Rattus norvegicus: one gene and its partners. Each later gene encodes a partner of the first gene's protein in a complex. Links are inferred from orthologs where the notes say so. Each region holds a gene or a part of one and is shown in the gene's direction. Other genes may lie near its edges.

The links.
Region 2: Gtf2f2 (region 1) and Gtf2h4 share a complex: the UniProt entries of both Homo sapiens proteins name them as parts of the TBP-based Pol II pre-initiation complex. The link is inferred for Rattus norvegicus from reciprocal best matches to the Homo sapiens genes GTF2F2 and GTF2H4.
Region 3: Gtf2f2 (region 1) and Polr2k share a complex: the UniProt entries of both Homo sapiens proteins name them as parts of the TBP-based Pol II pre-initiation complex. The link is inferred for Rattus norvegicus from reciprocal best matches to the Homo sapiens genes GTF2F2 and POLR2K.
Region 4: Gtf2f2 (region 1) and Gtf2a1 share a complex: the UniProt entries of both Homo sapiens proteins name them as parts of the TBP-based Pol II pre-initiation complex. The link is inferred for Rattus norvegicus from reciprocal best matches to the Homo sapiens genes GTF2F2 and GTF2A1.

Annotation. Positions count from the first base shown.
Region 1 is NC_086033.1:57,733,407-57,738,546, reverse strand, and holds the start of Gtf2f2 (general transcription factor IIF subunit 2), read left to right. Parts: upstream 1-2,069; 5' UTR 2,070-2,181; coding exon 2,182-2,247; intron 2,248-5,140. UniProt on the Homo sapiens protein: TFIIF is a general transcription initiation factor that binds to RNA polymerase II and helps to recruit it to the initiation complex in collaboration with TFIIB.
Region 2 is NC_086038.1:3,074,231-3,079,339, forward strand, and holds the start of Gtf2h4 (general transcription factor IIH subunit 4), read left to right. Parts: upstream 1-1,879; 5' UTR 1,880-2,047; exon of another isoform or gene 2,048-2,793; 5' UTR 2,794-2,796; coding exon 2,797-2,936; exon of another isoform or gene 2,937-3,282; coding exon 3,283-3,387; exon of another isoform or gene 3,388-3,732; intron 3,733-3,845; exon of another isoform or gene 3,846-3,963; coding exon 3,964-4,095; exon of another isoform or gene 4,096-4,121; intron 4,122-4,237; exon of another isoform or gene 4,238-4,308; intron 4,309-4,358; coding exon 4,359-4,455; intron 4,456-4,544; coding exon 4,545-4,633; intron 4,634-4,816; coding exon 4,817-4,928; intron 4,929-5,051; coding exon 5,052-5,109. UniProt on the Homo sapiens protein: Component of the general transcription and DNA repair factor IIH (TFIIH) core complex, which is involved in general and transcription-coupled nucleotide excision repair (NER) of damaged DNA and, when complexed to CAK, in RNA transcription by RNA polymerase II.
Region 3 is NC_086025.1:69,239,098-69,244,317, forward strand, and holds the start of Polr2k (DNA-directed RNA polymerases I, II, and III subunit RPABC4), read left to right. Parts: upstream 1-2,135; 5' UTR 2,136-2,218; intron 2,219-2,922; 5' UTR 2,923-2,931; coding exon 2,932-2,992; intron 2,993-3,329; coding exon 3,330-3,422; intron 3,423-5,220. UniProt on the Homo sapiens protein: DNA-dependent RNA polymerase catalyzes the transcription of DNA into RNA using the four ribonucleoside triphosphates as substrates.
Region 4 is NC_086024.1:116,234,663-116,239,241, reverse strand, and holds part of Gtf2a1 (transcription initiation factor IIA subunit 1), read left to right. Parts: intron 1-1,236; coding exon 1,237-1,441; intron 1,442-3,021; exon of another isoform or gene 3,022-3,164; intron 3,165-3,948; coding exon 3,949-4,016; intron 4,017-4,579. UniProt on the Homo sapiens protein: TFIIA is a component of the transcription machinery of RNA polymerase II and plays an important role in transcriptional activation. TFIIA in a complex with TBP mediates transcriptional activity.

The DNA of each region.
Region 1 (5,140 bases):
TTGTTTGGGATTTAAGACGTGTACTAAGGGTGTGTCTGTACTCCAGCCAAAGTGATTAAAGGTGCGTGATAAGGTTAAGGGCTGAGCCTCACCACAACTAGAAACAGGTTCAAATATCCTGGAACAGTGGTCTATGAGCGACATCTCATCCAAACCATTCTATCTCTCAACCGCTATAACCACCTGCTCTGTAAGTGGGATGGTGCACCATAGGTGCTTCTGTTTACCTGGGGTGTGTTCAATGCAAGTGTCTTATCTTTAAAGCCATCCCTGGGGTGTGCCAGTCTCCTTTGCTTTCCTTCTCACACAGTCCCTATTTTATTTTATTCTTTCTACTTGAACCAAGACCAGAGCAGTTCTCATGTGCTCGCCTTTTAATATGTTAGGCCTGTTTCCAAGCTGTTATAAGAGAATGGAACTTTTCTTGCCAATGAGTGTCTGCTCTTGGCTATCATATTAGTTTAGCGGATCTCAGAGACCTGACAGTTTTCCCCGTCCCTTATGCTGCCCAGATACAGACTCTCTGCAGTTTTGTGCATAGCTCTGGTGTGTGAGTCAATAAATTACTTGCCATTCTTGCAATACCTTACTGTTTGTTTCTCTTCAGCAAAGTTCATTCAAGCAAAGCCCACTGACATTCCACAGTATGTCAAACACTATGCTGGATGTTGTGCCTATAAAATGAATAAAGCATTATTTTGCATTCATCCATTCTGCTTCAGTAAATCTGGGGCACAAGCAGTATTTCTGTCTAGGAGTTCAGCGAGTAGTGTAGAAGACAACGGTATCCATGCCTTTCATGGTACGGTGTTAAGTATCACACAATGTGGTGTGGAGAAACAGAACTCTCTCTGGGGGTCTCTCTTCCTGGTAGTCTTTGTTTCTTTTCTACTTGTCTTTGTTTATAAGTAGACGTTTGCCAAATGATAGGGCCAGAAAAGGACGGGGCGGGGGGAGTATCTAAGGCACAGGTGTTGGTTTCAAAGAGGTAGTGAAATGGTAGGAGGAAGGGCCTGGAGTCTTCATGTAGGTGGATGGGATTGGTGTGGAATCCTGTGTGGAATTGTGAGAATAGGAGGATCAAACTGAGAGGACCCAGTAAAACACAGGGTAGAATTTCATTCCAAAGGCAAGTGCCAGAGGAAATTACCAAATGAAGACTCAGGAGGCAGAAGCTGTGATGAAAGCTGGCAAGCTCAGAGAGGCAGAGAAAGCACCCAGCTGACCTTCCTACTCTACCAGCTCTCCATGCACTCTCCAACACCCTTCAACTCAAAGTGCCTCCTTTCTCTTGCTTATGTTCACTCTCTGTCAGTTGGTTACTTGCTCTGCCTCTTGATCTAGGGTTGACTTTATTTAGCTCTGGGACCGAGGTGTGCGCACCAATACTGTTCCAGGCCACAAATACTTGTTTACAGTAAACAGAAAGTTCTGGGATCAAAGGCTGAGCCACAGTTATTAGCAGATTCTTCCAGTTCACAATCTCAGAGTTCATAGTGTGATTAAATATCCTGCAACAGGAAACTGTTTAAGCAGGGCAGTTAAATAATCAGATTTATTTCTTGCGTGGTGGGTCTTACTGACCCAAATAGATGGCATTTGGGCTTTGGCGTCTGAAAGAGTGTATTCTTCTTGCACCGTGTGAACTTATTTTTAAGTCTCGAAAAGGCATGTGTCCAGCATACTCACTTGTACCTTAGTGCCCACTTGTGCCAATGACATTGGGCCAAGAAAGTGACTTTTACCCCTAAGTCTGTCCTTTAAATGCCTAGCCTCTTCAGCTAGGGTTGGGTATGAATACATACAGTTTTTGTCTGTCTTAACCTTTTTTCCCCCATTTTTGGCACCTTTTCTTTAAATGCACTACTCAGGATTTGGTTTTTCCTTTCTGCACTTGGGTCTCAGGTTTGCATGTTGGCAGGAGTCACACCCACCTGAGAAATTGCGGAAGCAGGAAATTTGTCCCTCGCGGGACGCTGTCCGGACGTACCGTGCGCAGGCGCACTTCTTCATTCAGCGGCGTGTTCCTCTCGTCTTAAGTTTCTAGTTCCCGGCCGGTGAGCCACTCCGGCTTTTCGCGGTCTACTTGTCCCAGCGTCCGGCTCTGGACTGTCTATCGCTCTCTGACGTTCAGTCCCGGGTCGCTGCTTGTGCGCGCACGCCGCCTCACACGACAAACTTATGGCGGAGCGCGGGGAACTCGATCTGACGGGCGCCAAACAGAACACCGGCGTGTGGCTGGTGAAGGTGAGACGCGAGCCCCACGGGGCGCTTCCGAAAGTTCTGGGTCTGTCTTTCCCGGGCCACCGCTGTTCTGAGAAGCGGGTCGCTGTTGCGCCTGTTTGCAGGTTGGAGAACTTACTTTAGGGGCCACAGGGCATCTTTCAGTCTGTCTGTCAATTTCATCCGCCCACCATAGAACTCTGTTTACCGCCAAGACCTGGCCTTCCTGATGTTCCCGAGAAAGCAGTAAATTTTACCCCATGCCGGAAAAGCCCTTGCGGGTTTGTTTGTTTGTTTGTTTTTTGTCTTTGTTTTGGTAAGGTTAACTTTAGTCATGAATGTGTATAAATTAGGTGAGTAGATACACAGTTTTCTGGACCACAAAGTGGAACTGGTCCCTGTGAACTTTTGCTGTTTTGTTTTGAAACAGAATCTCTCTCTCTCTCTCTCTCTCTCTCTCTCTCTCTCTCTCTCTCTCTTCTCTTCTCTTCTCTTCTCTTCTCTTCTCTTCTCTTCTCTCTTTCTCTCTGTCTCTGTCTCTGTCTCTGTCTCTGTCTCTGTCTCTCTCTCTCTCTCTGCTGGTCTGGAAGACTTCTGTCGCTTTACACTGGTAAAGTGTTCCCTGAGTTGGTAATCCAATTGGAGTTTTCCACTGGTAAAGTGTTCCCTGAGTTGGTAATCCAATTGGAGTTTTCGAAAGACCTGGAAGTTCCGAATTCAAAGAGAAGTTTGTTGACTTAGTGTTTTTAAAGAGCGAGTTTAGGTTTCATGAAACTTAACCATCAGTAAATGTTTTAAACGGACACGTGCCAGGCTTTGTTTGCCCCAGTGGTCACCATCTATTTGGGTTACATTTTTTATATGGACTGGGGGACTATTACTCTGTGGGAAATCTCGTTTTAAAAAGCCGTATTTAAATGGGATCATCAACGTTTCCCAAAGTTGGTTTATCAATGATTTATCTTTATAGTGAGTGTCAATGTTTTAAGCACATGGCTGAGTTCTCATCAAGACAAGGTGTCTTTTCCTGTCCATTACTCTGAACAGCTCCCGTTTGCCAGTTCTGCAGACCATGTTAAGTTTTTCAAACCATTTAACAGTTTCTGGTGATTCTTTGTACCTGTACCCAGTGTTGATTGCCTCCACCTCCAAGTCACTTTCTTTGCACTTTGATTAGTGTTTGGCACATATTACTTTCCCAGTGTGTGATGAATATAAGAAATTGAAAAGGCTGTATATCAGAGAGACACAAAACTAAAGTGGGTGGGGGTTAGTCTTCTCAGTTTCATCAGATTAAGAGCTTATGCAGTTAGTGAAGCACACCTTTGGGTGTGTTTGTGGTGCTGTTTTCTGGAGGCAAAGTAGGTCATGAGGGCTATGATCTAATTAAGGGATTAGTTACTCCTTAGGTGGATTTGTAATATGGCGTCTCTGGGAAGTAGTGAAAGGTGGTGAGGTGAGGGCCTAGTTGGAAGAGGTAGATACTGGCGGTATGTTCTTAGGGCTGCCCTGGCCCTGTCTATATCTTCTCTATATCGTGGCCATTGCGATGTGAGCTTGCAGTGCTCCTCCTCGCTTTTCCACAGATAGAGACTAAGATACCCAGTGCAAAATAAATCTTTAATTGTTTCTGTCAGATATTTGGTCACAGTGACTAAAGTCTGATTAATACAAATAATACAGCAGAGGGTTGTAAGTAACAGGAGAAAAGAAAACCTACTCTCTTCCTTTCCTCTCCCTTCCCTTCTCTCCCTGTCTTTTCATCTTTCCCTTTCTCATTCTCTTCCTTTCTGTAGTTCAGGCTGGCCTGGAACTCACTGTGTAACCCAGGCTGGCCTTAAACTCATGGTAATCCTCCACCTCTGTGCGTTTAGAGCATCTGTGCTTCTTGCGTATTTATGTTAGATAAATAAAGCAGAGCTATCAAGTAGGTGCTCCTGTGGTGCTGCACACCTTTAATCTGAGTGCTTGAGAGGTTAGCCTGGTCTACATTTGTGAGTCAGGGGAATGTAGTAAGACCCAGAAGCCAGAAGAGGGCATTGGATCTCCTGGTACTACCGTTATAGCTGGTTATGAACTGCCATGTGGGTGCTGGGAGTCAAACCTAGGTCCTCTGGAAGAGCAGCCAGTACTTTTAATGCTGGGCCGTTTTTCCAGCTCCCATCAAACTTAAATATTCAAACCATTAAAAATTTCACACGCTATTTTGAGATACGCTGCCCACAATCTCACCTAGCTTTATTTCTGAGTCGTATCAGTATCCCTGGGTTCAGTTTTCATATCTGTAGACGGGGGAGAGTACATTTGAGTTTGAAAAGAGATTGAGGGGATGAATTTCCGATGTCTACAAGGTGTCTGACAGAATTGTCTCCTCAGCCTTCCTCTTTTCCAGCCTCCGGCATATCATCTGACACCCTTTGGTAGTCCAGTAAGTTAATATGATGAACTTACACAGAATCGAATACATAACAACCAGTCTTTCTTACTCCTTTTTTAAAACCATAACTGTAGTCAAGGTACTGCCCCACTCCCCCAGCCCCCATAATCTTGTTTCCCCTTTGCAGCCCCAACAGCTGTGTCTCAGTCCTGTATTCATTGTGATCATGTTATTATTCTGAGATTACTATGAGACAACTGGCACTCAATGAATACTTATGCCCCACAACACATATGCTTCGTGCTTTATTAAATCTCTTTGCTTCTCATAACAGAATAGCTGAAAGGTAGATACTGATTTCAAGATCTAAAGGACTGTGAAGAACAGAGGCAGATTACTTAGTAGAATTAATGTATTTTTTCTTCTTAGAATTTATCCCTTGCTTACTTCTGTATCTGGGTTTTAGACACAGTATTTTTATGGTTAAGAACAAAGTCCCTTGAGGTGCCTTGACCTTGAATCCTGTTCTATCATTTACTA
Region 2 (5,109 bases), on another chromosome or scaffold:
TTGATCCCCCTGGAACTGGAGTTACAGGAATTTTATTCTTTTTACTGTTAGATTTCTGAACAGCTTAAAGGGACAGGAGGTAGAAAAGAAAACAGACTGATTTCAACTGATTTCAATAGTTTATTTCAGACACAGTGTTAGAGGAGCATCTGCCCAAAAAGGAAGCGGGTACTTGGGTTTATCTAGGAGGTTTGCGGAATGGGAAGTTAAGCGCTGCATCTGGGGCTATGTGCAAGTCTTCAATTTCTCCCTCCTGGAGAAAAGGCCATTTTATCTTTAGAAACTGCCTTGCCTTGGCTGAGAGTTAAGTAACAGCAGTGAGGGAGGGGCTGGAGTTCCACTATAGGGTCTTGGTCAGGATCTGGTTCCAGGTTTATTCTAACATTTACAACCAAGACAACGACAGAGTACTTTCATTGTTAAAAGGTGACTTTTAGGGGCTGGGGATTTAGCTCAGTGGTAGAGCGCTTACCTAGGAAGCGCAAGGCCCTGGGTTCGGTCCCCAGCTCCGAAAAAAAGAACCAAAAAAAAAAAAAAAAGGTGACTTTTATTATTACTGCTGTGTGTGAGTGCCGGAAGGAAGAGGCCAGGATGCCCAGCTCCATGGCACAGGAATGGAAGTCAGTTGTCTTTCCCTCTGCTCAGGTCACAGCACAGCAAGGCCTTTCCCAACTGAGCCATCTCAGCAGCCTGCGACTTTCTTTAAAATACCTAATAAAGCATCACCAAGTCCTTACATGGCCCCACCATTTTTGCCCTTGGTAAATGTGTTTCTCATCAGCACTGGGACTTCCTTGTGCCGTTTTCTTATTCTTGTTGGGCTTGATAGTGATGTAAGAATAACAGAATTTGCCCCCATAAGAATTGGAGAGGGATTGGGGATTTAGGTCAGTGGTAGAGCGCTTGCCTAGCAAGCGCAAGGCCCTGGGTTCCGGTCCCCAGCTCCGGAAAAAAAAAAAAAATGGAGAACCTCTAGATGACCTTAGTTGCTGTCATTCCTTCCTTTCCCTTGTCTTGTCTATGATAAATTCATAAGTCAGATCAGGGCAAACGAGAGCTTTCTTTTAAAAATTGTAATATAATCTTCTAACTCCCGGGGAGTTGGAAGGGCTGAGGAGGAAGAGATTAAGATTGATTGTGCGAGGGGTTGGGGATTTAGCTCAGTGGTAGAGCGCTTGCCTAGGAAGCGTAAGGCCCTGGGTTCGGTCCCCAGCTCCGAAAAAAAGAACCAAAAAAAAAAAAAAAAAAAAAAAAAAAGATTGATTGTGCGGGTTGGGGGATGGTGGAGAGATGGCTCAGCAGTTAAGTACACTGGGCTGTTCTTCCAAAGGGCCCGGGTTCAATTTCTAGCACCCATATGGTAGCTCACAGCTGTCTGTAATTCCAGTTCTAGGGGACTCTGACCTCACAGACATTTTGATTGATTGAGCATTTAGTAGCCAAATAAGGGCGATTGTGTTGATCCTCGACTCATGAAAACTCTCTGCACTGTGCATTATCTCAGTTTTGTGGAAAACAGCACAGGTCAAGAAATCCAGTTTTGAGGTCTCTAAGTCTAACATACCACCACTGAGCTGCTGTAGCGCGTCTCCGATAGGAGACCCTGGAGCTCCTCCAGATTGGGTGCCTCCTCCTGTCTAGCCCTGACTGAGATTAGCTTTAGCTTCACAAGGGAGAGAGGCGCGGAACCAAATGGTCTGGCTTAGGGTGTTCCTAGGGAATCCTAATGAAAAGTCACTGTCTCTCGGCCGGCCTTCTTGCGGTGCCTTTCGGGAACTGTAGTCAGACCCTCCTCACAGTGCTCCAATGTAGACTAGGAGAGGACTACAATTCCCAGTATGCCACGCGACAGGCGCGTACATTGCCTATTCTAATCCCCTTTACTCTTGACACTTTTTCTGCGCTCCCTTCTCTTTGGGCTGCTTTTTGGCTGGGTCCTGTCTGTGAAGTTCTCCGCGGTTCTCCCACGTTTTAGAATTTTCATCTTTTATTTCCAGGAGTCAATGCGAGACATTAGCTCTGATTAGGCGACGGCTGGTGACCCGGGGTGCGCGGAGGGGATCCGAGTGGTGAGGGGGTGTGAGAGGGGTCAGGGAGGGAGAGAGTTGAGTGAGAGGTGGTGTGAAAGGAAAGCTGGGGAGAAGTGAGGAGCTCGGAAGCGTGTGTCTCAGTGAGAGGGGTGAAGCTGGCTCGGGGGGTGGGGGGAAGGGATAGAAAGATATTTAGGTTGGTAAGCGTGGAGGCAGTTTATAACCGTGTCCCCAGATGAGAGCGCTAAGTACTTGACAGATTTATAGTGATTTGACCAGGAGGGTGGACAAGAGAGAAGCTTAGGCTCAAACAAGCATCTTTGTCACTGCTTAGGTCAACTAGAGACATCATTGATAATGCAAAACACTTTTGCAAGTAGGACACAACAAGTAATTCAGTCACTTTTGTACACACCAGTGAGGATCTGGATTTGATCCTCAGGACCATACACAAAATGAGAATAATCTCACCCCCTGGAGACTGAAAAAAGGCTGAACTTAAAGGCAGATGTGGGATGAAAAACCTGGTGGCCACTTGTGACATCGAGGTCACAAAGATGGGTCAGGGGTTCAAATCCATCCTTGGCTACATAGCAAGTTCAAGGCCATCCTGAGCTGCATGATGAAGAAGCAGGACACGAAGGGTTTGGGAGGAATGAGTGGCACCAGACAGGAAAGTACAGAAAGTGAACCTGATAGATCTGGAGTCATAGATCTGGAGTGATATGGGTCATGCGGGAGTTCTGACACTTGTCCCTCTCAGGTGATGGAGATCACCCCCGCGAGGGGTGGACTGAACCGAGCACACCTACAATGCAGGAATCTACAGGAGTTCTTAGGCGGCCTGAGCCCTGGGGTGCTGGACCGATTGTATGGACACCCTGCCACTTGTCTGGCTGTCTTCAGGTGAGGGGCGTTTGGAGAGTGTAACGGGGCCTGCAGACTGAAGTTAGTTATCATGGAGGAGAGGCTTACCTCAGTGAGTACCAGGGTGTTAGACAGTGTGTCAATCCAAAACAGAGGTTGTGGGGGCAGCGGGACTGGTAAGGATGTGGGAGATGGCGTGAGACATTTGAGAGGCAGATGTTGCAGGGTATTTGATCACATTGTGAACCCCAAGGTTATGAACCAGAAAAACCTTGTATTGTGGTTCAGTCCTACCATACACCTTTTAGCCAAGGGGCCAGGCAGATAAGGGCAGAGATGCAGGTGTGAGGTTGCTTCTGATAACATTGGCCTCTGAACCTTACAGGGAGCTCCCTTCCTTGGCTAAGAACTGGGTGATGAGAATGCTCTTTCTGGAGCAGCCTCTACCACAGGCTGCCGTGGCCCTGTGGGTGAAGAAGGAGTTCAGCAAGTGAGTCCTGTGCAAGCGTCATTTCTCAAATTGCTTTTGTTTGGAACACTGCCAGGGTGCACACACACAGGAGCTGGGGATCAGATCTAGGGCCTTTCAACAGACTCTGCCCTACACAAGGAAAACCCTCCAGAATACACTTGCAGTGGTTTCCATGGTGCAGAGTTGTGATCTCTCTAGCTGTATACTAATTAGAACAAAACAAACAAAAAGACCAAAGGAAGAAAGGAAAAAAGTAGCCAGCGAAGTAGGGAGGTAGAGACAGGAAACAGTAGATTGTAAGGTTACATTGCAAGTTTGATACATTGTAAGGTCGAGGCTGTCCCAGGCTTCATAGGACCCCTTCTGAAACAAAACAAATGGGGGAGGGGGGATTGACTTAGAAAACAAAACAGAGAAACCAACAACAATCAAAACTAGCTATGTTGTCCTTAGCATTGTAGTGCAGGTTGCCTCACCCAGTGCATGTTGCTTCCCTCTGCAACACTGTTCCAAGGACTGCCATTGGGGGAGAGAGAGCTCCCTGGAGGTCTCCTTTCTATTCATGACACCTCACCCAACTCTGCTTCCGTCCAGGGCTCAGGAGGAAAGTACCGGGCTGTTGAGTGGCCTCCGTATTTGGCATACCCAGCTGCTCCCCGGTGGACTCCAGGGCCTCATCTTGAACCCTGTCTTCCGCCAGAACCTCCGAATTGCTCTTCTGGGTGGGTACGTCATTCCCTTCTCTTCCTGAGCTAGGCCAGGGGAACAAACTGCTTACTACACTGATGGGGGGAGAAGCTCTTGAGAGACCTCCCCAGAACCTCTTCCCCCTCACTCCCACCCCTTCGGGAAGCTCCTTCAAGAATACATTGGACCAGGTGTGGGTGTGGGCTGCAGAAAATGTCCTCTTCTCATGGTTCATGGGGCGAGGGAAAAGACCTAGAGAAGCAGGAAACAGGGCTCCTTATTCCTGTTCATCCTGGCCACAGGGGCAAGGCCTGGTCTGATGACACAAGTCAGCTGGGACCAGACAAGCACGCCCGGGATGTCCCCTCACTTGATAAGTACGCCGAGGAGCGCTGGGAGGTGAGGAGTGGGCCTCTGTGGGCCTCCGCTGTGCGCCCTGTTCCCAGTAGCCCTAGAAACCCCAGTCTCCTGACCCTTTTCATCTCTAGGTGGTCTTGCATTTCATGGTGGGCTCCCCCAGTGCAGCTGTCAGCCAGGACCTGGCTCAACTCCTCAGCCAGGCCGGGCTTATGAAAAGGTGAGGAGGGCAGAGCATGGCTGCTCCCTGCTCAGCCATCTCCTTGGGTCTCAAATAAAGTGGGTATCTTCTGGGGCTAGGAGGGAGTGGAGAGAGTTGGCTGAGAGGAGAGGCCTAAGTTGGTGTAAGCAGACTAGGTGTAGCCCTTTGCAAGCTGCTACCATCAGCTCTCTCTGTCACTAGCACCGAACCCGGAGAGCCACCGTGTATCACTTCCGCTGGCTTCCAGTTCCTGCTCCTAGACACGCCTGCCCAGCTCTGGTACTTCATGCTGCAGTATCTGCAGACAGCCCAGGTAAGAGCCAGGGCCTAGGACGCTGCTCACTCTGCTCAGGTCCCTGAGTAACTACCAGCCTACGGTGCTCCTTAACTCCCTCTTTCTGTCTCATGTCCTGTCTCTCTGCCGTTTCCTTCTCAGAGTCGGGGCATGGATCTAGTGGAGATTCTCTCCTTCCTTTTCCAGCTCAGTTTCTCTA
Region 3 (5,220 bases), on another chromosome or scaffold:
CCCTGGAAGCTCTGGTTGCTTGGCATTGTTGTACTTTTGGGGTCTCGAGCCCCTTCAAGCTCTTCCAGTTCTTTCTCTGATTCCTTCAATAGGGGACCTATTCTCAGTTCAGTGGTTTGCTGCTGGCATTCGCCTCTGTATTTGCTGTATTCTGGCTGTGTCTCTCAGGAGCGATCTACATCCGGCTCCTGTCGGTCTGCACTTCTTTGCTTCATCCATCTTGTCTAATTGGGTGGCTGTATATGTATGGGCCACATGTGGGGCAGGCTCTGAATGGGTGTTCCTTCAGTCTCTGTTTTAATCTTTGCCTCTCCCTTCCCTGCCAAGGGTATTCTTTTTCCTCATTTAAAGAAGGAGTGAAGCATTCACATTTTGATCATCCGTCTTGAGTTTCGTTTGTTCTAGGGATCTAGGGTAATTCAAGCATTTGGGCTAATAGCCACTTATCAATGAGTGCATACCATGTATGTCTTTCTGTGATTGGGTTAGCTCACTCAGGATGATATTTTCCAGTTCCAACCATTTGCCTACGAATTTCATAAACTCGTTGTTTTTGATAGCTGAGTAATATTCCATTGTGTAGATGTACCACATTTTCTGTATCCATTCCTCTGTTGAAGGGCATCTGGATTCTTTCCATTTTCTGGCTATTATAAATAAGGCTGCGATGAACATAGTGGAGCACGTGTCTCTTTTATATGTTGAGGCATCTTTTGGGTATATGCCCAAGAGAGGTATAGCTGGATCCTCAGGCAGTTCAATGTCCAATTTTCTGAGGAACCTCCAGACTGATTTCCAGAATGGTTTTACCAGTCTGCAATCCCACCAACAATGGAGGAGTGTTCCTCTTTCTCCACATCCTCGCCAGCATCTGCTGTCACCTGAGTTTTTGATCTTAGCCATTCTCACTGGTGTGAGGTGAAATCTCAGGGTTGTTTTGATTTGCATTTCCCTTATGACTAAAGATGTTGAACATTTCTTTAGGTGTTTCTCAACCATTCGGCATTCCTCAGCTGTGAATTCTTTGTTTAGCTCTGAACCCCATTTTTAAATAGGGTTATTTGTTTCCCTGCAGTCTAACTTCTTGAGTTCTTTGTATATTTTGGATATAAGGCCTCTATCTGTTGTAGGATTGGTAAAGATCTTTTCCCAATCTGTTGGTTGCCGTTTTGTCCTAACCACAGTGTCCTTTGCCTTACAGAAGCTTTGCAGTTTTATGAGATCCCATTTGTCGATTCTTGATCTTAGAGCATAAGCCATTGGTGTTTTGTTCAGGAAATTTTTTCCAGTGCCCATGTGTTCCAGATGCTTCCCTAGTTTTTCTTCTATTAGTTTGTCCACTCTATTTTTAAAATAAATGGTGTGAAATAATTGAGTGTAAACGTCCTGAACCCAACAGATTTTTACTGAGTTAAAAGTTTGATCTGTGAGAACACATACCACCTGTACTCTATTGAATTGATCAAACACAAGAGGGAGAATACTACGAGAAAAGCTAAAGCCACCAACTAGTGGAAGTAATTGATGGAGTTGTCCTTGTGAAAACCTTAGTTGTGAAAACCTTGGCTTCAAAAAGGAAGATGGGCAGGCGTTGTGATTTGCGCAATTAATTTCAGCATTGAGGCGGCGAAGGTAGAGAACTGCGCCGGTTTAAGAGCAAGCTCAGCCTGGGCTACATAGACTATCAAGCCTCGGGCTTCCCCTATCATTCCATTCCCCAACATAAAATAGAAGAGAGGTGACAAGAAACTAAGAAAACTGGAATTTGAAAACAACAAACAAACAAAAACCTGCATGGGTATTGAACAATTTGAAAACCGTGATATTGGGAAGTGAAGTGTTGGTAGGGTGGCCTGCTGGTGTTCGCCCAAGCAATGGCTGGGTTAAGATTCCAGCAGCACCTGTTTTGGCTTCCTGCTCTATCTGCCGTTACACAAGCACAGACTCTCGAACGCCGAGCTGTGGGAATGTTTTGCTACCCTGGAGAGAGGGGCAAATCAAAACAAAATCCTACAGGAATTAAGGAGAGAAACACTATAAACCAGTCCCCAACAAGCGCCCTAGTTCTTCGGTACTGCCAGGCAGAAAGGGACAGGGCTTTTGCGTCATAAGTCAGCGCCGGAAGTTGGCGAAGCAGCGCCGGTAGTGTCTCTTGCTTCTAAGAGCCGGAGAAAGCGTTTGCGTGCACAGAGGAGGGACGCTTTCCGGAGCTGCGGAGGTAAGGGATCGGCGGGTGATTTGGGAGGTAAATTGGAGGCAAAACTAGGAGAGACACCTGGCTTTAAAATATCCCTGGACGACCGAGAGCGGTAGCACACGCCTGCCATCTGAGCGCTTGGGAAGCAGAGGTAGGAGAATTCTGCCATCAACAAGCACCTTGACTTTCAATCTAAGGCTACAAAGTGAGTTCTCGGCTAACCTGAATTACAAAGTGAAGACTCTCAAAGCCTTCTTAAAGAACCAAATGCGAAAATAAAGATCCCCGGTGGAGTTAATGTTGAGACAAGCTTTGACGGAGCTACTGCTCCCAGCTCAAATCGGAATTCCTTTGCGGAGTGATACTGGACAAACCAACATGTCCTTAGCCTCCGTTTCTTCGTGTGTAATACCCTCTAGGATCCTGAAGAGTAATAAACATTCATAATGTATTTACTATTGTTGAAAATGTGCTGTATCCTTCAGACCCAGCCCACATCACTGTTTAGGGGAAGTAGATAATTACTTTTTTTTTTTTTTTAATTTCCCCATCCGTAATATTGGGTATTGATTCTTGGGCTTCTGCACACTAGGCAAACATTCTACTGAGGTTTTCCTCTTTGGTCGGAAAATCAGAACCTCGTATAGCTTCTGAGAAAAAGATAAATCAAATGGGGCATGTTTTGTGCGAAGGCCCTGTTACTCAGTCTTTGGCTCTCATTTCAGGCACGAACAATGGACACCCAGAAAGATGTTCAACCACCAAAGCAGCAGCCAATGATATATATTTGTGGAGGTAAGATTAACATTTAAATAATGCTTTACTTAGGAACGCCCCCCCCTCCCATTAAAAAGAATCCTTCCATACATGAGTACAAATCTTTAAAATTATAACGTGGAGCACTTTAGCGATTGTTAATTTTAAAATCCCTCTACCTTATTAAGATTTCTTCCTTTTATCTGGAAAAGGTGTACTGCCTACAGCTCTTCTTTCTCCTTGGTCTGTTCAGTAATAAGAATGTACTTGGATGTTTTGGTGCCCTGGTTTCCTCCTGTTTTTAATATGTTGTTACTGTTTGCTTCCCTGGAGTGTTTCTCTTTCAGGCTTTGAATAAATGTGCTTTCTTTCCCAGAGTGTCACACCGAAAATGAAATAAAATCCAGGGATCCAATCAGATGCAGAGAATGTGGATACAGAATAATGTACAAGAAAAGGACTAAGAGATGTATCCTTTTAAGTATACTTTTTAAATGTGAAGAGGAAGTAACTAATACTTGGGTTGATAAAGACTAAGATCTGGGGCTGGAGAGATGGCTCAGTGGTTAAGAGCACTGACCACTCTTACAGAGGTCCTGAGTTCAAGTCCCAGCAACCACATGGTGGCTCAACCACCTAGTAATGGGATTTGATTCCTTCTGGTGTGTCTGAAGACAGTGACAGTGTACTCACATACATGAAATAAATAAATCTTTAAAAAAAAAAAGACTAAGATCTGATCAAAGTAGTAATAACTTTTGGATTATTTTTTAAGCAGAGTGCATGTGGACTTATTGAGAACTGAAAGAGTGGAGCCTCCACAGGAGGTATACCCAGATTAATTATTTTAATAGGATTTATTTTTCCCAAAACTTGTGGGGTAGAGACAGGCAGCTCCTTGTGAATTCCAGGCCAGTCTGGTCTACACTTAGGATTCCAGGCCAGCTAAAGCTACTTAGTGAGACCCAGTCTCAAAGGACCAACTAGGGGCCTGAGAGCTGGATCTGCAGGCAGGAGCATTGCTGCTTTTTCAGAGGGCCTTAGAACCAACATGATTGCTCACAATCACAGGTGGTCGGATAGGCCGACCTCTGACCTACCAGTGCGCGGGACCCAAATGGTACATACATGCATACAGGCAAAAGCACTTGTGCATAAAATAAACCTGAATAAAACAAATTTTAAAACCCAGTAAATACATTTTTAATTCATTTATTAAGGTTATCACTGGCCTTCCTAAACCTCTGTGGCCTTATACTGGCTAGTTTTGAAGGCCAACTTGACACAGGCTGGAGTTATCACAGAAAAGGAGCCTCAGTTGTGGAAATGCCTTCGGGAGACCCAGCTGTAAGGCATCTTCTCAACTAGTGATCAAGGAGGGAGGACCAAGCCCATTGTGGGTAGTGCCATCCCTGGGCTGGTGGTCCTGGGGTTCTATAAGAAAACCAGCTGAGCAAGCCACGGGAGGCAAGCCAGTAAGTAACATCCCTCCATGGCCTCTGCATCAGCTCCTGCTTCCTGACCTGCTCGAGTTCCAGTCCTGACTTCCTTTGGTGATGAAACAGCAATGTGACTGTGTAAGCTGGATAAACTCTTTCCTCCCCAACCTGCTTTGTGTCATGATGTTTGTGCAGGAACAGAAACCCTGACTAAGACAGGCCTCAAACTCAGAGATCCACCTATCCCCGCCCACCACCTCTACCCCCCAAATCCGGGATTAAAGACATGTACTCCCAAGGCCTGGCAGAGGTTTTTATATAAAGTAAATGTGATTAGCATTTTCATGTACCATTCATTATGGGCTTTCAGTAATATAAAAACTAGTTGATAAGTCTTTTTTACTTTTCAGGAAATCTTTGTTTTTAGTAATAGTCATTGTTGGTTATTAGTTTATGAACAATATAAAGTACGGAAGAAGAGATTAATAACAGTGGAAAATAGTGAGGCCTACAAATTGTTTCATGGTAACGGACACAAACTCTTAAAAGTCATCAATTGTTTCAGTGAGTTTTTTTAATTTGTGTTTATTTTTAATACTACTTATATTAATATATGTTACATTATTAATTTATATTATCTTGTATCCAAAAAAGTAAGCTACTGAACATGGCAGTAGTGTACTTTATTTTTTTAGATAATCTCTGATTATAGTGAACTTCATTCTTTTGTTCATTTTATATTCAATTGCAAGCTTGGTGCAGGGGGTAACTTGGAAGCCTTAGTCTTACACAATTTTAAGTACTGTTTAAAATCCTTAACTCAATTCA
Region 4 (4,579 bases), on another chromosome or scaffold:
GAGTACAGGAGCCTCTGAAAGGATCCTGAGGAAACAGAGCTCTGAGTTAGCAAAGCAGTATCTCAAGAGCGGATCCTGGACTTAAAAACAGAATGCATACACGGATGGACTAGTGTAAAACTGACCAAATTGTTTCTTTGCATTTTAGAGGCACAATTTTACTTTCTTAGATAATTTCTTATAGGAGTGAAACTCTAAACAATAAACATAGGAGAAAGCAAATATGTTATGGGAATGTTTTCATTTCCTTTCTTTTGGGTGGTTCTTCCTCCCCTTTCCTCCCATTATGAATTTACCGTGTGGTGAAATAAGAAAGTACAAATTGGGTATCCCTAACCTGAAAGGAATCAGCAACCCAGGAATGTTGTCTTTCTGCATTTTTTTCAGACTTTGAAATACTTGCATATAATAAGCAGTAAAAGTTCTCTTATGTTTCACATACACCTTTTTATACATTGTTAGAAGTTAATTTTGCATAGTATTTTAATGGTTTTTGTACATAAAGTAAAGTTTCATCAGGTAGAATTTTCCTGTAGTGACATCCTGTCAGGAGTCAAAAAGGTACAGATTTTAGAACATTGCAGATTTTGAGTTTTTAGACTAAATATGTTCAACCTATAGAAGTGACTAAGCAGAAAGTGAATGTCAGTCGTCCATATTGGGAGAAAGGACATTTCAGGAGGTGTAGAGAGAGGATTGGGATGACCATTTCAGCATCACTTTCTTTAACATCAAGGTTAGACAAACAGAAGGAAGTTGACCTGTCTTAATTTAGAATGCCTTTATTTCTCATTATTCTCATTAAGGACAAATGGGTGAATAGTTCTCATGTTGACTCCTATTGAAGAGATAGGAAATTTGTATTGAGCAAAGTTCCATAAAAGCAATTACGTAATGATTTTGAAATAAAAAGTAAAAAGATAAGCTGTGATTATTCAGGGATTGACTCTGGGAACTCTGTTAACAATACCTGACAACTGAGGTGAGGAATTACTCTAGAAAGTTTCTTGGAATGTAAAAAAAATTTCTTCAGCATAATAAACATGAGGTCTGATTAAGGTTTATTTTCCTTATATAAAACTTGGGTAAGAAAGGTTAATTCATGTGTGTGTGTGTGGGATTGTATTATTTCTTAGAATGGAAGAAATTTACAAACACGTAATAAATTAATGTTTTGCCTATATATCCAGAGTTTTCTTGAAGTCACTGAGAAGTCTTTATTGTTCTTTGTCTTAGTTGTGGGAGAATAAACTAATGCAGTCTAGGGCAGTAGATGGATTTCATTCAGAAGAACAGCAGCTTTTGTTGCAAGTTCAGCAGCAGCACCAGCCCCAGCAGCAGCAGCATCACCACCACCACCACCACCAGCAGGCGCAACCTCAGCAAACGGTACCTCAGCAAGCACAGACCCAGCAGGTTCTTATTCCTGCGTCACAGCAAGGTGAGGAGGCTAGAGCTCCCTGTCGTGGCTAGCAAATTGCACTTGTTTTTCAAAAGTATTCCTTTGACTTGAATTTCATGGATCCATCATCTTTTTTAAATAGACGCTGGGATCGGGTGATCTATGTGATCTTTTTCTTCTCTGTTGGCTGGTAGAGTGCTCGCCTAGCATATATGAAGCCCTGGGTTCATACATGAACCCACCACTGCATAAGCTGGGTATTGTGGAGCACGTCTATAATGCTAGCATTCAGGAAGACGCAGGGTGAGATATTAAGGTCATCTTTAGTTATTTCTGTAGAGAGTGAGTTGGAACCAGCTTTGACTACTTGAGACTTTGCCTCCAAACCAGCAAAACAAAATAACAAAGGGAAAAGTTAAGAAGAGCATCCCTGGGAGGGGAGCTACAATATGTGAATGAGCTGAGCTAGGGACCAGGTAGAGAGACTTGGAGTCCCAAGAGCATAAAGGCAGAAGACCCCTGTGGGGAGATAGGTAGTATAGACAGAGTCCCAGAAGGTTTTGAGCCAGCGAATCTGTTAAATATATCAGAAACATTACAAAGAAACCTTGTGCCACATAGGTTGGAGGTAAGGATCCATATTCCACACTTTGTATATATTGTATAAGAAAAAAAGAAAATGGGGATCCCCACCTATACAGACTTATTTATAAAGGGATTCATCATTTAATATAAGGTAGTTTTTCTTTATGAAACATGTTCTTTCAAAGACATGTTTGTTTTGTTTTGTTCTTGTATCTTCAATACTGAAGAAATTTTGTAACTTTGGTAGTCTGAAAATTTAGTCCACCTTTTAATGCTTGATTTAAAGAAAGAAAAAAGTCATTTATTGACTCTGCCATAGTTTGCAAAAGTCAAATCATGTTATAGGTCCTGTTCTGTTAACTTTTATTGGGGTGTTTGCAGAATAGCTATTAGCTCAATCTCACAGTTGAAGAAAATCTGGAAAGATTAAGAATCTGCCATACCATTCAATTCAGCACTCAGGAGGAAGAGGCAGGCAGATCTCTGATTTCAAGGCCAGCCTGGACTACAGAATAATATCCGGGACAGCTAGGGCTACATGGAGAAAACTTGTCTCAAAAAACCCCAAAAACAAAAAAGGATCTCAGTACATAAAAAGGATCTCCGCCATACATAGTTTTTTTTTAATATGACAAAAATCTATTGAGTTACAACATTTCCTGAATCTTATAGTTAGATGAACTTGACTGGCAAGGAAACTTCAGGTGAATGAAAGCGTAGTTTAAGGTGGTGACTGTCCGTGACTCATTTGCTTCTTCTGTGAGTATGTGAAATGCACAGGGAATAGTTACATGGAGCAGAAAACCTATACAATTTGGTTTACCATTTACAGCTAATAGATTCTGAGGATCTTTTTTTTTTTTAAAGTTTTGTATATTGTGTGTGTGTGTGTGTGTGTGTGTGTGTGTGTGTGTGTGTGTGTAGGAGCGATAGTCCGTGGCTTGGTGGCAACTACCTTTGCCTACTGAACCATCTCACCAGCTCTTCATGCCTATATTAAGTCTATACCATAAAGTAGACATCCTTTTCATCTTTGATGACTGTTCCTCCTATTGCCTATAGGCATGGCACTAGGATTTTAGGTCATCATAAATTAAAATTGATTTTTTTCACTCAGAGAATATCAAGATAATGGGATTATCTGTGTATTCTCTGAAATTTGCGGGGTCAAACAATTACTTCCGCTTTTTAATTAACATTGCCATTGTTCCTTGTGTGTGTGATGTTGTGCGCACATGCAGATGTAGGTGCTCATGTACTGTGGTGCATGTATGGAAGTCAGAATACAACTTTAGGTGTTGATCCTTGCTTTCCACTTGGTCTGAGACAGCATCTGTGTGTTTTCTGCTGTATGCACTAGGCTACCCACCCTCAAGCTCCCCTCAAGCTTAGCGCTCTTCTGTCTCTGGCCCACCCTCCTGGTAGCTCCATACAACAGTGGTATTAGGGTGCTCATGCTATTATGGCTTTTATGTGTGTTCTGGAGATTCAAAGCAGGTCCTCCTGCTTGTATAGCAAGCATTTTTACCCACTGACTTGTATTTTTCAAATAGTTAATTAAAATGCCTTGACTGTGGTAGCAGTCAGGTTGCTAGAAAAGGTTGTAGGGTTTTCGTTTGTTTTTAGAACACTGCTTTACTATGTCGACCTGGCTGGCCTTGAACTCAGAGTTCTATCTGCCTCTGTTTCCTGAGTGCTGGTGTTAAAGGCATGCACTGCAATGCTGGCTAAGGTATTGTCATTTTATTAATATTTTTCAATATAAAATAAATGTATTCTAGCTGTTGATTTCCATAGAAAATTTTTTAAAAGTCTAAAATAGCAAATACTTTGAGAGTATTTTCAAGTAGGAAATGTAACAAAATCATGAAAAAGGTTTTGACATTTTATAACATTCCTGCAGCTCTGTACCCTTGTTTGTAAATGGACCTTTTATTCTTTTTTTTCTTCTATTTTTGTAGCTACAGCACCACAAGTTATTGTTCCTGATTCTAAGTTGATACAACATATGAATGCATCAAGTATTACGGTGAGACTTGAACATGGCACTTTCATCGGCTTTATTTATTTCATCTAAAATGACAGTTATTTCTTTGGGTATAATTTAACAACTTGAGGTTTATGGAAGATTTCAGCAAAATAGCTGTTAATGACAAATCTAAAGTGTAGTTTAATCTTAGACATTAAGGTTTGTAAAATAATGTAATTTTCTTCTTAAGAAAATACCAAGATACTCTTTGTGGGGGTTAGTTCATAGCTGTAAGGAGCCAGCCAAGCTTGTACATCTGCAGATCTCTGTTTGAGGCCAGCCTGGTCTGAACCCTGTCTCAGAAAAACAAAACAGTACAAAACATAAAAGGAAGTAGCTTCCTTGAAAGCTTCAGTAGCTGACAACATACTCAAATGTACATGGTTAGCACGAGATTTAATGGTTCAAAAAGAAACAAGGTCCAAGCTGGGGTTAGTGGGTAGAAAAGAAGGGGTGCAAGAAGGGGTACATCTGGGAAGAGTTGGGGTAGGGGTGGCATGATTAAGATGTATAGCATATATTTCTCAAATAACTAGTAATTTTTTAAAAAAAGAAATAGCTAT